Schizosaccharomyces pombe: one gene and its partner. The protein of the gene in region 1 interacts with the protein of each later gene in a pairwise test. Each region holds a gene or a part of one and is shown in the gene's direction. Other genes may lie near its edges. The genes, in order: ssb1 and rti1.

The links.
Region 2: the proteins of ssb1 (region 1) and rti1 interact in a two-hybrid assay, tested with the Schizosaccharomyces pombe proteins (one study listed by BioGRID).

Annotation. Positions count from the first base shown.
Region 1 is NC_003423.3:216,186-225,061, reverse strand, and holds ssb1 (DNA replication factor A subunit Ssb1), read left to right. Parts: upstream 1-3,763; 5' UTR 3,764-3,801; coding exon 3,802-3,842; intron 3,843-3,911; coding exon 3,912-5,700; 3' UTR 5,701-5,880; downstream 5,881-8,876. Other genes in the region: msi2 (cleavage factor complex subunit), read right to left, coding at 85-125, 198-638, 687-733; M phase inhibitor protein kinase Mik1, read right to left, coding at 1,550-2,086, 2,155-3,363; ergothioneine biosynthesis methyltransferase Egt2, read left to right, coding at 6,883-8,061; tcg1 (single-stranded telomeric-binding protein Tgc1), read right to left, coding at 8,566-8,876. UniProt on the Schizosaccharomyces pombe protein: As part of the replication protein A (RPA/RP-A), a single-stranded DNA-binding heterotrimeric complex, may play an essential role in DNA replication, recombination and repair.
Region 2 is NC_003423.3:743,056-751,141, forward strand, and holds rti1 (DNA repair and recombination protein), read left to right. Parts: upstream 1-2,979; coding exon 2,980-3,210; exon of another isoform or gene 3,211-3,308; coding exon 3,309-3,392; exon of another isoform or gene 3,393-3,545; coding exon 3,546-3,725; exon of another isoform or gene 3,726-3,783; coding exon 3,784-4,036; exon of another isoform or gene 4,037-4,088; coding exon 4,089-4,167; exon of another isoform or gene 4,168-4,212; coding exon 4,213-4,501; 3' UTR 4,502-4,679; downstream 4,680-8,086. Other genes in the region: U4/U6 x U5 tri-snRNP complex subunit Prp31, read right to left, coding at 1-464; protein Mdm35, read left to right, coding at 1,014-1,052, 1,115-1,285; GTPase npa3, read left to right, coding at 4,797-4,854, 4,929-5,082, 5,139-6,030; SPOM_SPBC119.16C (uncharacterized protein), read right to left, coding at 6,190-7,536; cym1 (metalloendopeptidase), read left to right, coding at 7,731-7,850, 7,902-8,086. UniProt on the Schizosaccharomyces pombe protein: Active in the repair of DNA damage and in mating-type switching. Probably involved in the repair of DNA double-strands breaks. Has a role in promoting S phase completion.

The DNA of each region.
Region 1 (8,876 bases):
AAACTACACTTCCAGCTAACAAATTTCTGATCGACAAAATTTATGCATGCAAAGATAGTTTAAGATGGCGGAAAATTAACATACCATCGGTAGTCTCCCAATTTAAACCACCAATAAACATTTTACTAAAATATCTGGTTAGAATTGAACTACTGGAATTTCCTAAGAAGCTACAGGATATAGTACAATTAACATACCCGTCCTCTCGATTAAAGGGACTAGTTTCCTCTGCATTATCTTCATTTGATTCCATAGCACCGGAACCGGTCAGGGCCGACTGATTTTCATTATAGTTATCATTTTTAGAATTTTCACCGTCCTCGGCATTGTCCCAAGTTGCGGAACTCAAGGCTTGTCCTCTAATATCATACGAAGAAGGATCAGGCGCTTGCTGAGACGTTTCATTTAAATCGTCTTCTTGATTGGCTTCCGCTTCAGCACTGTATTGTTGGTCCGATCCCGAACGGTCAAAATCAGCTCCGGGTTCTTCTCGAAAAGGGTTTTCTTTTGTACGTTCAGCACCCGCTTCTCCCGATTTTTCGAGTTCTTCATAGCCCTCGTTTTCTTTTGTCGGCGTCACATTAGACGTTTCTTGATTTCCTGAAGCTGACTCCACTTTTTTTTCATTTTCCTCACCACTAATTAATCGATAATTAGTACTATAAAAATACATTTCGAAAACTTACTATAGATCCTTAAAAAGCTCGTCATCTTCAAAATCAGAGCCGCCCATCGTGAATTATTTAAAATAAGATATGAATGGTGGTTAAAAGATGGAAACAGTATGGGGTTGTACGTGATACATTCTACCAAAGCGGAGCGTAATACGCTAAATCCTGCACAATTCAGTGAACACTGTTAAGAATAATGGAAAAAGAAACGACAAAGACAAAAAAAGGAGTCGATCCAAATTTACAAGTTTTGCTCTGTTCTTTTGAATATAAATGATTTGTTGATATTATTGCTTGTAACTCAATAACTAAATATGAAAATTTTTACATAATTATATAATCTTACAGCTATACCGGAAGGCTTCATAATTCAGCAATTGTAACGATAGATCAGGCGGAATACGTATACAAAGACAAGGCACTTCCATATTTTGAGTTCCTTAAAACAGCACTTCTGCGAAAGACTAGGAAGCTTAAAATAATTATCCATCACAATATCAGCAATTCCCTGCATAAAAAAAACGCTCAAGTTTTTTCACTAAAACACAAAATGCGACATTAGGTGGATTTTTAAACGTAAAATACCCAGCAGTTGATCAAAAGACTTAGACGATTGACGTTTAGCCGTCAAAAGATGTTCTTTTAAAAATGACCAAAAAGATGGATTGCCAGGGGGTATTAAAAAAAGATCGACCCGGGGTAATTTTTTGCACCAATTGAATTGGGGTAAACACAAGGTCACTCGAACAGACGAACAAAAGAAACATTAAAATTTAAAAATATAAAAATATTGGTATAAAATACAAATTAATGAACCATGGAAGAACGCAAAATTCATTCCCTCATTGTGGGGCTAAAATATTCGCACACAGAATCCCTCAAGTTTCTAACCAACTGTTATGGTCTTCGTAGATAATTGCAGCTTTTTGAGAATGCTCAGAGATGAATATCATTTCCGGCATTGCTAACAAGTCTTGTGTTGTGGGTCGACAATCCACGTACGGATGCGTCATACGCTGAAGCAAACACTGTAATGATTCAGCACACCTCACCTTGTTTATTTGAACCTTTTCTTTCGACAAAAGGAGGTCTTTAAGATTTGGCAAATTTGAGTAATCTCCAGACCTTAGTCGTTGCCATTCAACACCATTTTCTGGCAGGACTACATTTGTTGCGGCTTCAATCATACTGAGGCCTAGTGAATATACATCGGCTGGTTTCCCATAATTATGCGAAGCTAATATTTCGGGAGCTATATAGACTCTGTCGCCTTCGAGATCAACCATCGAGGAGACCGGTAAACTAGTTGCTAGTCCGAAGTCTCCCAACTTTAAGTTACCATCACGAGTTATAAGAACGTTGGAAGGCTTAACGTCTAAATGAACAAATTCTAAAAGATGAATGAAATTTAATGCCTATGTTCGGTTAGTGAATTCAAATGACGTGTCTGTGGAACGCGACTTTTAAATATGTAATAACTTACTTGAGTTAGTTGAAACAACATTTTCCACACGCGAAAAGGATCCATGACCTGCAATAATCCCAATTCGCTTAAAAATAAACTTAGGTCTCCGTTTTCACAATAATCTAATTGCAAAAATATATTATCATTGTAGCTCCAAACGTTCACTAGATTTACTACAAATGGACATGCTTGCAAGCGTTGCAAAATAGATACTTCCTGTAAGTGACGCTCTTTTCCTGTAAACTTGGCTGCATTTTTTTTTAACATTTTTACAACGTAAACCGTTTCAGTAGGTGGGTTGATCGAAGACACATGATATACAAATGAAAAATCACTCTCGTGTATCGGCTTAACTTGTTGGAATCGAATTCGAAGATCACTAGTCCAATCTTCCTCTTCTTCGTAATCATCTGCGCTGTTGATGTTTAAAAAAATTGGACTGGTAGGTGTCCAACTTAATGAAGAAGGTACGTCTTTCTCATCCCAGTTATTAACGTGGGAACTTGAAAGGAAAATAGGCTGACTCTTGCAAGGCGTTTCGCAAAATTCCAACAAGTCCTCTGAACCATAAGACAAAGAAGGAAGTTCTTCCATTTCAAACGTTTCATCCGAGCTGTCAGAGTTTGGATGATCCAACCGACTAAAAGTATCTAGGTCGATATGTTTACATTTGCGAGCTAAAAGAGAGGTAGTGGGTGACAGCGGAGATTGAGGTGGTTTTAATTTTATTTTCGTTCCCTTTTTACAAGGTGTATGAGGTTGTTCACTTCTTGGATTAGTCAAATTCCCTTCCCATAATGACCACTTTTCACGTTTTGATAACAGTCCTGTGCTTAAAGAAGTCACCGCCCTTTTTCGTTTTAAATCAATTGGCGTTGAAGCATCCACAATTTTTTTGGATAACTTCAAGCCGCTCGAAAATGCAAATGGTTTGCTACACCCATCGAGATCTGAATTCTTAAAAATTCCGTGGCGAACTGTAGTGGATAATCTGATGGCTTTTGCATTATTTTGCATAGGGGTATGTGGACTTCTTTTTGTATTGGAAGGTTTAAAGAATGTCAGTTTTGATGACTTATGGCTCTGATTTTCTTCATGGCCAGACGAAAAATTGTAAATGGGTTCATCGTAGAAATTTAATGGAGAATGCTCATTAAACGAAGAGGATATATTAAAAAAACATGGTGTTCGCGTTGGAGTAATTGGGATGGTGGTTGATGAATCCATCTTTAACTGAAACCTGAATGTAAATAAAGTTATATTTTTTTGCTTATTAGCTGTTAAAATCCCGTTTTCACTTTGATATCTCCGGTTTTCCTAAATAATAAATAATATGCAGATGATAATGTAGTTCAACTCTTCCAACAAAAGGAAAATCACAAAGGATTTATTTCCTTTTGTAGAGAATTAAATAACACTACTATTCTTTTCAGCTTTTAAGGGCTTTTCTATAGCAATGTGTTGTGCGCAAAGGATAACTTTGAAAGTAAACAACCATTGTTGACATGCACGTACACAAACAACACATCTTAAAGTTACGCGTAATATTAAAATGTGTTACGACGCGTCATGACGCGTTCGCGTTTTTCATTTGGGATAACGCGACGCGGCTTCGTTCTTTTGCCTTAAACCAACCACTAATTAAAAAAAAAAGAATTTGCAAACATGGCTGAGCGATTATCCGTGGGTGCACTTCGTATAATCAAGTAAGTTAACTGTCCAAATTATATACTCAAAAGATTTCGACAAATTGGGATGTTAACACGTTTCTTTAGTACATCCGATGCTTCGTCTTTTCCTCCTAATCCAATTCTCCAAGTCTTAACCGTGAAGGAGCTAAACTCAAATCCAACTTCTGGTGCTCCTAAAAGATATCGTGTTGTCCTTTCCGATTCAATCAATTATGCGCAATCTATGTTAAGCACCCAGCTGAACCATTTGGTTGCCGAAAATAAACTTCAAAAAGGAGCGTTCGTACAGCTTACCCAATTCACTGTAAACGTTATGAAAGAAAGAAAAATTTTGATTGTTCTTGGTTTGAATGTTTTAACTGAACTTGGCGTAATGGATAAAATTGGTAATCCCGCTGGTTTAGAAACAGTTGACGCTTTACGGCAGCAGCAAAATGAGCAAAACAATGCTAGCGCACCACGAACAGGTATTTCGACAAGCACTAACTCATTTTATGGAAACAATGCTGCAGCTACAGCACCGGCTCCACCTCCCATGATGAAGAAGCCAGCAGCGCCGAATAGCCTTAGCACAATAATCTACCCAATTGAAGGTCTCTCTCCATATCAGAATAAATGGACTATTCGTGCCCGTGTTACTAACAAATCTGAGGTTAAACATTGGCATAATCAACGAGGTGAAGGAAAGCTTTTTAGCGTAAATTTACTCGATGAAAGTGGGGAGATTCGTGCAACAGGCTTTAATGACCAGGTTGATGCTTTTTATGATATCTTACAGGAAGGTTCGGTTTATTATATATCTCGTTGTCGTGTGAACATTGCAAAAAAACAATATACCAATGTTCAAAACGAGTATGAGCTGATGTTTGAACGTGATACTGAAATAAGGAAAGCTGAGGATCAAACTGCCGTCCCCGTTGCGAAGTTTAGTTTTGTTTCTCTACAAGAAGTCGGCGATGTTGCCAAAGATGCTGTTATCGATGTAATTGGTGTACTCCAAAACGTTGGACCAGTTCAACAAATTACCAGTCGTGCAACTTCTCGTGGATTTGACAAGCGTGATATCACTATCGTTGACCAAACAGGATATGAAATGCGTGTTACGCTTTGGGGAAAGACAGCTATTGAATTCTCTGTTTCTGAAGAAAGTATTCTCGCTTTCAAAGGAGTTAAAGTTAATGACTTTCAAGGACGCTCTTTGTCAATGTTAACTAGCAGCACCATGTCGGTAGATCCAGATATCCAGGAATCTCATTTGTTAAAAGGTTGGTATGATGGACAGGGTAGAGGGCAGGAATTTGCCAAACATAGCGTAATTTCATCTACTTTATCTACTACTGGAAGGAGTGCTGAACGTAAAAATATTGCTGAGGTTCAAGCCGAACATCTGGGAATGTCAGAAACACCCGATTATTTTAGCTTAAAGGGCACCATTGTTTACATTCGAAAGAAAAACGTGTCATATCCTGCTTGCCCTGCTGCTGATTGCAACAAAAAGGTTTTTGATCAAGGTGGCTCCTGGCGATGTGAGAAATGTAATAAAGAATATGATGCTCCTCAATACCGTTATATTATAACTATTGCTGTAGGTGATCATACGGGACAACTCTGGCTCAACGTCTTTGACGACGTCGGTAAATTAATCATGCATAAAACGGCAGACGAATTGAATGATCTACAAGAAAACGACGAAAATGCCTTTATGAATTGTATGGCAGAAGCTTGCTATATGCCATATATCTTTCAATGTCGTGCTAAGCAAGACAATTTTAAAGGTGAAATGCGAGTACGCTATACAGTGATGTCAATTAATCAAATGGACTGGAAGGAAGAGTCTAAAAGATTGATAAATTTCATTGAGTCTGCTCAATAAAACATTGTGTTTTACGTCTCGCTGGTCGAGTAATTGAGTTTTTGGCTTAAATCGCGAAAACTACGATTTATGATTTTGCATACATTGATTACAAAGTGACTCCTTTCCTTATGATTTGGTACTTCACTTACATTTAACTAGATTTAAAGTAATTATATATGATCTGAATTTTTGGAGTAATTAGTTCTGTTGCTTACATATTAAAGTTCCTTGATGGGTAATTTACGCTATAATGGCTTGATTGAAATCACCGCTAAAAGAATGCAATGATATCTTTTAATATGAAGTAAAATATACAGTAAACTTATCAATTGTTTTAGAATTGAAACTGTTGAAGAAATAAATTACCAGATTGTTTTGAAGTAAATACGAGTCTACGAAAATGCAATCCTATTTTAACAGGAATATGAACCATGATTTTTTTAAATTTACTTTATAAATAAACAACTTTAATAAGGAAGCGATTTAGATACCAATAACAGCAGGTTACATTCTTTAATTGAGTAATAATAATATAACTGAGCAAAAAGACTGTTTTGCGACAAATTTTGTTAATTACATACAAAATCTTAAAATACAACATTTCTTTGATTAAATCGTACAAATTTATCTTTAAAGATCCTTAATTAGCTCCCCACATTCTAAATGGAATGGAGTAAACTATTTAATCCGTCTCGCAACAACCTTCAGTAAAACCTTGACAACGAGAGATTTAAAAAAGATTAAGCGCTGGTTTTAGTTTTTGTAAAGTCAATGGGGATGCTAAAGAAATGATAGAGTAACGGATATGTTCGAAAAAAGTTCTGAAGCCATGATCTTTTGTAGATCAGATCAGTCTTATCGTATCTCCAAAAAACGTAGATTATAAGTATCTTTCTTGTAAAATTATTGTTATCATTATGATAGAAATCTTTATAATTTCAAAGATCGTCTGTTTTTTGATAGTATATTAATTCCGTTATCCGCTAATATTAATCATTTCATTAGCACCTAACCGCCAACGGTTTCCTTTAGCCTGACGATACACTATTTTGTTAATAAGCCATTGTGACATTTTATAGCAAGCAAACTATCGTCATTATTATTCAATTATTGTAATCCAAAACGGAAACATACAAAGTTAGACTGTCTACTTAACTACAAATTGGGAGTTCCGAAATTCACTGTGATTTAATTTTATAAATGGCTGAAAACAACGTCTACGGCCATGAAATGAAAAAGCATTTTATGCTTGATCCCGATTACGTGAATGTAAATAACGGAAGTTGTGGAACAGAATCTCTTGCTGTTTACAATAAACATGTCCAACTTTTAAAGGAAGCTCAGAGCAAGCCAGATTTTATGTGCAATGCCTATATGCCGATGTACATGGAGGCTACTCGAAATGAAGTTGCCAAGCTGATAGGCGCGGATTCAAGTAATATAGTTTTTTGCAATTCCGCTACAGATGGGATTAGTACGGTTTTGTTGACATTTCCGTGGGAACAGAATGATGAGATATTGATGCTAAATGTTGCCTATCCTACTTGTACATATGCCGCTGATTTTGCAAAGAATCAGCATAATTTACGATTAGACGTTATCGATGTTGGGGTGGAAATTGATGAAGATCTATTCCTTAAAGAAGTAGAACAGCGTTTTTTGCAGTCCAAGCCGAGAGCATTTATCTGTGATATTTTAAGTTCTATGCCCGTTATCTTGTTTCCTTGGGAAAAAGTCGTAAAGCTTTGTAAAAAGTATAATATTGTTAGCATTATTGATGGTGCTCATGCCATAGGTCATATTCCTATGAATTTGGCTAATGTTGATCCTGATTTTTTGTTTACCAATGCTCATAAATGGTTAAACTCACCAGCTGCATGCACTGTACTCTATGTCTCAGCTAAAAATCACAATCTCATCGAAGCACTTCCTCTCTCATACGGTTATGGATTAAGAGAAAAGGAATCAATTGCCGTAGATACTCTTACCAATCGGTTTGTCAATTCTTTCAAGCAAGATTTACCTAAGTTTATAGCTGTTGGTGAGGCTATTAAGTTTCGAAAATCCATTGGAGGGGAAGAAAAGATTCAACAATATTGTCATGAAATAGCTTTAAAGGGAGCCGAAATTATTTCTAAAGAACTGGGCACTTCCTTTATCAAACCTCCATACCCAGTTGCAATGGTAAACGTCGAAGTTCCCTTACGCAACATTCCCTCCATAGAAACACAGAAAGTATTTTGGCCTAAATATAATACATTCCTTCGATTTATGGAATTTAAAGGAAAATTTTACACTAGACTTAGCGGTGCGGTGTATTTAGAAGAATCAGATTTCTATTATATTGCTAAAGTTATTAAAGACTTCTGCTCTCTTTGAATAACTATGCTTCACAATGCATCCTCTGACTCTTTTTATGTGACTCAAAGCACTTAAGTTATTTAATACTCACCTGTGTTTTAGACATTGCAGCACAATAGATTCTAAATCTTAAGAAGCCTATAACATTCGTTTAACTAGTTACTTATATTTTGCGTGAATCAATTATTACAACGTTCACAATTTTGGAAGAAAATGTATATTTTTACTTGAAGCACTTTAACGTTTCAAATGTACAAAGATGCAAAACTATTTTTAACAATAGGCCCGAATGTATTTTTGATACAAACGGAAAATATATAAGGCACAGAACTCCAAGCAATGAATATAGTCTAGTCTACAAAGCTGCAACTTTTTACCAGGAACATGCATGGGTTCCATGCTAAGGGAGAGAACGTGACGTGCGGAAACATGAGGGTATTCGGGACATATATAAGTATAATGGCGAGGCTCATTATAAAAGGAACGAAGAGCCAGGAATAATCACAAATCATATTTTAACTTTTAGGCAGTTATAGCACTAGCAGTAACGCCTGATTTTTCTTCTGAGTCAACCTCAGATGCTTTGGGCTCAGTAGAATCAGACACGTTAGTGGGAGCAGATTCTGAAGCCTCAATAGGTTCGTTTTCATTTTTTTCATTTTCATCATTTTGCTTATCTTCACGGAAGACAGCACTTTTAACAACCAAAGTAAGGTCACCTACTTGCTTTCCATTCATTTCCTCAATAGCTCTGGATTGATCCTCAGCATTAGCAAAAGACACAAATCCAAAACCACGACCACGACGTTGCTCACCACGTAATTTTATACGGC
Region 2 (8,086 bases), 530 kb from region 1:
AAACTACTTAATTCAGGAAATCGGTCATGATACCATTCCTTCACGAGTCTGTGCAGCCGCAGGATTTCATCGTCAATTTCCATCGCAATTGAATTAGAATCCACGATAAGGTGATATTCGAGATCATCTTCGATGTTTCCAGTGATAGCTTGTTTTTCGGTGCCTTTATATTTCTCAGTTCCTTCTATGATATCGCGAAGACGTGTAGAATTCAACAGCTGATAAATGTTCTCATTATTGTCATTAAATTTATTAGCAACTTCACTAGGCAATTTTTGAGCAGAATCGCTAATTTTGGTAATATCCAAATCGTTTTCTAATTCAGCAGAAATGCCATTTCCTTCCTCTAATTGTAACTCTAACCGCCTTTTCTTCGCATCTGGCCCAAGTTCATCAGTAATTGTAGATTCTGTAGTTTCCTCAATATCATCAAGATCAGCTAATAATTCATCTGCCAGTGACATTATATTGGTTAAAATCCTTGCCTAATGAAAAACTTTTTGTCAAGCGTAGTTGCCAGAAAAAGAAAAAAAAATAACAAAGCTGGTTCTGGAAGTCTAAGATTTCACTAAAAAAAAGACTAATGAATAATTCAAAAATAGGACGTAATCAGCAAACGCCAGGATAGTAATGTACAAAATAGATGTATGTGGCTATTTAATAGAACTGCAACTTTTTATAGGCTTAATAGCACTAATCGTGCAAATTTGAAGATTAATGCAAATAAATAAGTAAAAATAAGATTCAAATTCGCTTTATTGACAAGTTCCAAGTGGAGTGTCAAACTTGAACTGGCATGGGGTATTTTGCTTAGTGCTCTACACATACTAGACAACCACGTTACTACGGTCATAGGGAATTGGGATCGAAAACTGCTTGATTCATTTCTTCAAGTTTGTTAAATTTTTTTCGTTCATTTTTTTTTTCCTTGACAAGGAAATTGGTTTAATTGATCTGGAGAAAATTCATTCATTCAACAGTTTGGAAAAGTATCAAGATTACTGAATCCAACTATGTCGTCCTCTGTTAGTGAAGAATGTACCCCTGCTAAGGTAGAGTTTTCTTTATATGATAAACACTGTGGACGAATTTTAGCTGACTAAATTATGAACAGAAGAAGTATGATGCCTGCTTTAACGATTGGTATGCGAATAAATTCTTAAAAGGTGATCTCCATAATAGAGACTGTGATGAGCTCTTTGCCGAGTACAAATCATGTCTTTTGAAGGCTTTGAAAACGAAAAAAATAGATCCTCTTCTTGAAGCAGCACGCAAAGAAGATTAAAGTAAGAGCATCTTTGGATATATGATTTTTAAGGTTGCTTTGAAAGATAGCAGTACCATGGAATAAAGCTCTTCTTTTAAAACGGGTGAAAAAGTGATAAGCATCTGTGCAATTGTAAGTTTATCAGAATTGTAGGTAACGAAATATCTCTGCCATGAAGCAAGTATACACTTCTAAAGGTGTTGTTTAAGAACATATGATTCGGCATATCCTTTTGCTGGCAAACCAATAATTCTCTAAAAGGGTAGTTGACTAAGATCATACTAAGTAAAATGATATGAACATCTTTTCATTGGACTCACCTTTGTAGAAAACTTGTAAGAATATACTTATAATCAAAGAATTGAATGGTATTCCTTCTTAATTAGTCTATTTTCACTTCGACATGCAAAAACATTATTTTGGCAAAAATTCGACACCAGCAGGATTTGAACCTGCGCGCGGAGACCGCAACAGATTTCTAGTCTGTCCCTTTAACCACTCAGGCATAGTGTCCAAGTCTGTCACTAAAAAATATATAACATATACATATTAACTACATCAGTCGCAGTTAAACAATAAAAATTTGAATGAATGAAAAAAAATACTGTAAATGTCAATTGATTTTTATCATTTTTAAATAAATAAAATTTGTAACTGTTAAGTCAAATTTCGAACCTCTACGTTTAGGAAAAGCTTTGCATGAATGTTCAGTATTTTCTTTATTAGTTTTGGAACTATTGTATTCAAAAGTACACTGAGTCCAGTAGTAATCAGTTCTGTTGAGAATTTCATACTATTGATTGTAATTGATATACGGTATTAAGAAGCTGAAAGTTGAAGTGCAGTCAATTTCCTTTGTAAAACATGTCTTTCATAGTTAGGTAGCAAATTGGTATATTAGAGTTTAATTGCAGATTATTAATCAAAAACAAATTTTTACCTAAAATATTATGCGTTACGCCAAATTTTGAGTCGTTAACCTAGCAATTGCACAAGGGCAAACAATAAAAACGAGTGGGTGATGGAATTAATAAGACCAGGTTTGTTTTTGCTAGCTTCTGCAGCGCAGTTTATTTATAGAAAATATTGTTATTATTTTTAGTTAATGAAAATTTGGGTTTTTTTATATATAATTTTCCTAAGAGTCGTATTTACATATATATAAACAAAAATATTAAAAATCGAAATACTTATCTCTAAAGAAATACATGTCAAAGCAAATCATTTTACAAATAAAGAAATTGCCTAAAAAAATTAAATCTCTTTCTAGCAGCCCATGAGTAATTTTATGCACACCATAGAGCACATTACTGTTTGTTTTGTTTTCTGGAGTGTACCAAGCATTTATAAATTGGTAACACAAAGCAAATACGTTCTTAAATGTAAGGTCGAAGGAAAGTGACTAGCAAGCTCAATTGTTCTTTTAGTGTATAATAGAACAGACATAATCTTCTCGAAATCTTATATGTTTAAAAGCTTTTTTTTTCTGCGTTATAAAATCATGCCTTTGTTTAAGGAAATAAATTGAGATTTTTTATTAATTTGCATTTTAAATTTGCTAGATTTTTTTTTTTTTGTTCATTCAATTGTCAAGGTCCAATGTTTACAGACGCGTAAACAAACAAATGTGACGTGGCGAAAGACGCGTATAAAAAACCCATTATTCTTCTTTTAACATTCCTTTAAATTAAGATCCCCAAAACATTTTCAAAATGGGCTCGCTACCTGATCAATCGTCTTGTGAAGAGTTTACTGATTCGCAACAGGATAAGATGACAAAACTGCTTGCTATGCAACTTGGCCCAGAGTATATTTCTCGCCGAAGTGGTCCAGGAGGAGGATCTGTTACATACTTAGAAGCATGGAAAGCAATTGAGCTCGCAAATGAAATATTTGGATTTAATGGGTGGTCTTCTTCCATTCAAGACATTCATGTCGATTATGTAAGTGTTAATTTTGCGTCAAAATTCTACGAAAAAAGTGCAAATCGTATCAATTCTTGAGCCTATATTTATTTATTTTTACTAATCATTATTAAAAGGTAGAAGAAACGAAAGAGAAAAAGTTTAATGTTGGAATCAGCGTTATTGTACGCGTTACATTAAAGGATGGCTCCTTTCATGAGGTAAACAAAACATGTCCTCAGTAATATTTCGTGATACCGGTTAAATTAATTATAGCAAATGGTATTTTTTTCGAAATAATTCATAACTTTTTCGTTCTTAACTATTCCATATCAGATTGTGGCCAATTTCTTGCTAACAAATGGTTTTTCTAGGACGTTGGATATGGATCTATAGAGAATTGTCGAGTGAAGGCATTAGCTTACGAAAAATGTAAAAAGGAAGGAACTACGGACGCATTAAAGAGAGCTCTTCGAAACTTTGGAAGTAGCATGGGTAACTGCCTTTACGACAAACGCTATATTCAAAAAATCTTGAAAATGGCACCTGCCCAGGTAATATGGAAACACATAAAATTTAAAAATAATTAAGCTGACAGAAATGCAAAATTAGGCTGAGTTCAACTACGACAACCTTTTACGCGCAAACAAAAGACCCTATGCACGGTTCGCTCAGAAAGTATCTACCCCTATAGAAAGCCATGCAAATAAAAGTGTTAAGCTAGAACATAAAAATTCAATAGAGAAGAAAATTTCCAATGTGGATAAACCTATATCAGATCTCATTGAGAATGACATTCATGAAAGTCTGCCAGCTCTGCAAAATCCCCCCATTCAAAGCCATTCAGAAACAGACCTTTACGCAGGTATAAAAAATTTATTAATGACCAAATTGAAAAACTAAACATAAAAATATAGATGAAGAACTGGACAGCATCCTTATGCATCACGAGCGCCCGCCTATTCCTGAGTCACCTAGGGTAGAAGAATTCGAGGAGTAAGACAGACCGATCAATGCGTGCGAATGCCGACTAACTAATAGATTATTAAACCAATTTGAAGGAGATGAAAAAGTTTCTGTTGACAAAATTGACGCACACGATAAAATGACCGAAGCTCAGGTTGTCAAGATTCCCCCAGTACAATTTATGAATGCACGTGTAGCAGCAGCAGAAAACCCACATATAAAGCACGAGGGAATGGCATTTCAGTTGCACAAAAAGAGTAATTCTATACTAAAATCATCTAATATAGACCACAACAGATCCATGCCTATACGACGTCCTTCGTTAACTTCAAACAACTCTGCAAACACGTTCTCAACGAAATAAAAAAAATAAAATTGAGTGAAACGTTCAATGGTATAAACTTTTAAACTGCTTGCGAAATAAATTGCTGTACAACGAACGTCTCAGTGAATTTAACTAACTATCTTTCTTCTATTGAATGCAAAATTTCGATTTTCGAGTTCATGAATCAATTTATTTTTTTAATATACTTTAAACAGAATTAATATGAATAATTAATATGAATTTTTAAGACGTTCAATTCAATTTGTGTTACCCAGTAGTTTTTTGAACTGACCTTTCACCTCTTCTTCCACTTGGTTCAAATAAGTAGATCAAAATGACAGATAAAGAGAAGAAGCCTTGTGCCATCATAGTTGTAGGAATGGCCGGTTCAGGTATGAATTTTTTTATAATTGAAAAACCAATAAAGCACTCAACGCAGCAATTTCTAATCATTTTCATGTAATAGGCAAAACCACCTTCATGCAACAACTGAATGCACACCTTCATTCAAAAAATAAACCTCCTTACATTTTAAACTTGGATCCTGCTGTTCGAAATTTACCCTATGAGGCAAATATCGATATTCGTGATACAATCAATTATAAAGAGGTTATGAAACAGTACGTTTGTCTATTCCAGAGTTACAAGATTTTGGGAAATTTTCTAATTCATTTAGATATAACTTGGGGCCAAATGGCGGTATTATGACAAGTTTAAACTTATTTGTTACAAAGTTTGATCAAGTACTAAAAATTTTGGAAAAACGTGCACCAACAGTCGATCACATTTTGATAGATACTCCTGGACAAATAGAAATTTTTCAATGGTCTGCCTCTGGAAGTATCATATGCGATACACTTGCCAGTTCTTGGCCAACATGCATCGCTTATGTTGTCGATACGCCAAGGGCAACATCTACTTCAACATGGATGTCATCTATGCTTTATGCATGCTCTATGCTCTATAAAGCCAAGCTCCCACTTATCATTGTTTATAATAAATGTGATGTTCAAGATAGCGAATTTGCGAAGAAATGGATGACCGATTTTGAAGAGTTCCAGCAAGCTGTGACTAAAGACGAAGGTATGAGTTCTGAGGGTGCGACATCTGGATATATGGGTTCGTTGGTAAACAGTATGTCTTTAATGCTTGAGGAATTTTATCGTCATTTAGATTTCGTGTCCTGTTCGTCTGTGACAGGTGAAGGCATGGATGATTTTTTAGAAGCTGTTAAAGCTAAAGTTAAGGAGTACGAGGAAGAATATGTTCCAGAAATGGAACGAATGAAAGAAATTCAACGACAGACGAAAGAGAGACAAAAAGAAGCTCAGCTTTCTAAACTCATGAAAGACATGCATGTTTCTAAAGATAAAGAGGATGTTGGTCTAACTGTTTCGGATGCCGAAGATGAATATAATGGCGAGTTAGTGGATCCTGACGAAGATGATGGTTTAACTGCTGAAGATAGAGAAGATATGATTAAGCAATATCGTGTTGCTCTTGGTATCTCTGACGATATCTCTGATGAAAAGCTTCTTGAAATGCTTACAGAGCGTATGAAGCAATAAAAACAGAGAATAAATCTACTCATAAAAAATGAATAAAATAAAGGTATTAGGAAGATATGTTATAATATATTACTTTAATGACAAAATGGAATTTCTTTGAAACCGGTGCTCGAGGTAAAACTCGTTTTTTATTTTAGGGGATTGGTAAATCCCTCTTGTCTACAATAGTTTCCAAAGTATAAATAAAAAACATGTAGATGCTAGAAAAATTAGAGATACCCGCCTTAGCCAAAAGTATTTACCGTATTGCCAGTTGATATGTTTTTTTAACCATATTTGTGAAATTTCTGACACAAATGATTTATCGAGTGAATGACATGGATTCAAACCTAATGTTTGCATGTCTGAAACATTGAATGACTCTGCGTTTGAACTCAAAACGGTCAGCAATTTCTGATTGTAACGTTGGAAGTAATCCAGCATATTCTCATTTAAGAATTCCTGATCTGTCAGATTGTGATGGCTTGTATTAAAAATGTATTTAGAAGCCAGAGAATAGGTAGTAAGCCCCCAACTACTTTCCCCGTCAAATGATAGATACCTAGAAAGACCCTTAAAATTAATTAAGTCATCATATGAAGGTTTGATACGGATTGAATTTGAGTTGAAAATTTGCGGGTATTTATTAGCATTAAAAGAGTTGTCAGGCCAATATAACGCAAGGTCGTACAGTGAAGACTTGGAAAGTAATACAGTATCAGTTGTGCAAGCAATCCATCCCTCTTCTAAGTCATTATCTAGTAATGTGCTAGTATTAGCCAAACCAACAGAGTAGAATGGGTGCAAATCGGAAAGTAATATTGGTATAGAAGCATCAGATGATCTTTTGATAGAGCTTAGTCGAACAATCATATCGATAATTGAATACAGTTGGTCATCATGAGAAGATATCAAAAGAATCCGCTTGCGTTGAAGTGCAAATTTATAAAGACAATAAAAAGCCGGTCCAAGGTGATCGAGCAGAATTGTTGCGTAAGATTGAGAGAGTTCCTTTGAATTGGCACCTAAGATAGCAAATTTGTTCCCTTGAAGTTTCTCAAAAAGAGAATCAAATTCAAGATTCACAGCTGATGTTTGTAGACTTTTAAAAAAATCACTATCTGATAACTGGTGAGATGTGCACTTTTCAGAAGCATACGTTTCAGAAGCGTCTTCCCCAAATTTGTATTTCAAAGTTGCTAACGACAGACCATTCGCGATATAGAGTAATGTTTCTCCATATTTTACAACAGCCTCACCAAAGTTAATATCATCGCTGAGGATGAGTCCGACAGATGTAAAAAATGCACTCCTTTCAAACGAGGGGTGTTGCAATTTTGAAAACACACTTAAGCATAACTGGTCTTGAAATCGAAAAAAAATGGTACAATTATCTAACTCCTGTATACCACTAGGGAAAAGCAAATATTCAATTCCTTCAACATTGAAATCTCCAGGATAATAATTCTCGACGTTGTAGCCTTCTTTTGCATCAAACGTCGCCAAGACGATGGCTTGAATAGACATTGATAGTGAACGAGGTTTATTTTTAATGAAGATGAACCAGAAAAACTATCCTATAAATAGAAAGTTCAAAAACAGTACAATTAAAAGTTCATTAGTAAATGTGGTGCTAAAATTCGGGTCAAAGTTTGTTTACTATATAAGAATAAGGAGTTATTCGTCTACTCAGAACCAGCAACCTTGGTTTCCTCAAAATAATGAATTATGCCAAGTTATCGATAGCATTTTCAAAGAAAACCATAAAAACACACAACTGTCGACTATTTCAGCGATGGCTGCATGTTGGCGACAAAGTCCATGATTTTCGTGTAGTCGATGTAAGTAGCTAAAGCAAATTTAAAAAAATGGAACTACTAACTGTTTCCTAGACTAAAAAAGTACCAGAGTTACAGCTTAATTATACTCGTTTGAAACACGAGCCGACCAATGCAGATATGATACATCTGGATCGAGAAGATCCAAATAGCGTTTTCAGCATTGGATTCCAAACTCCAGCAGAAAACGATGAAGGAATTCCTCATATTTTGGAACACACAACTCTTTGTGGAAGTAA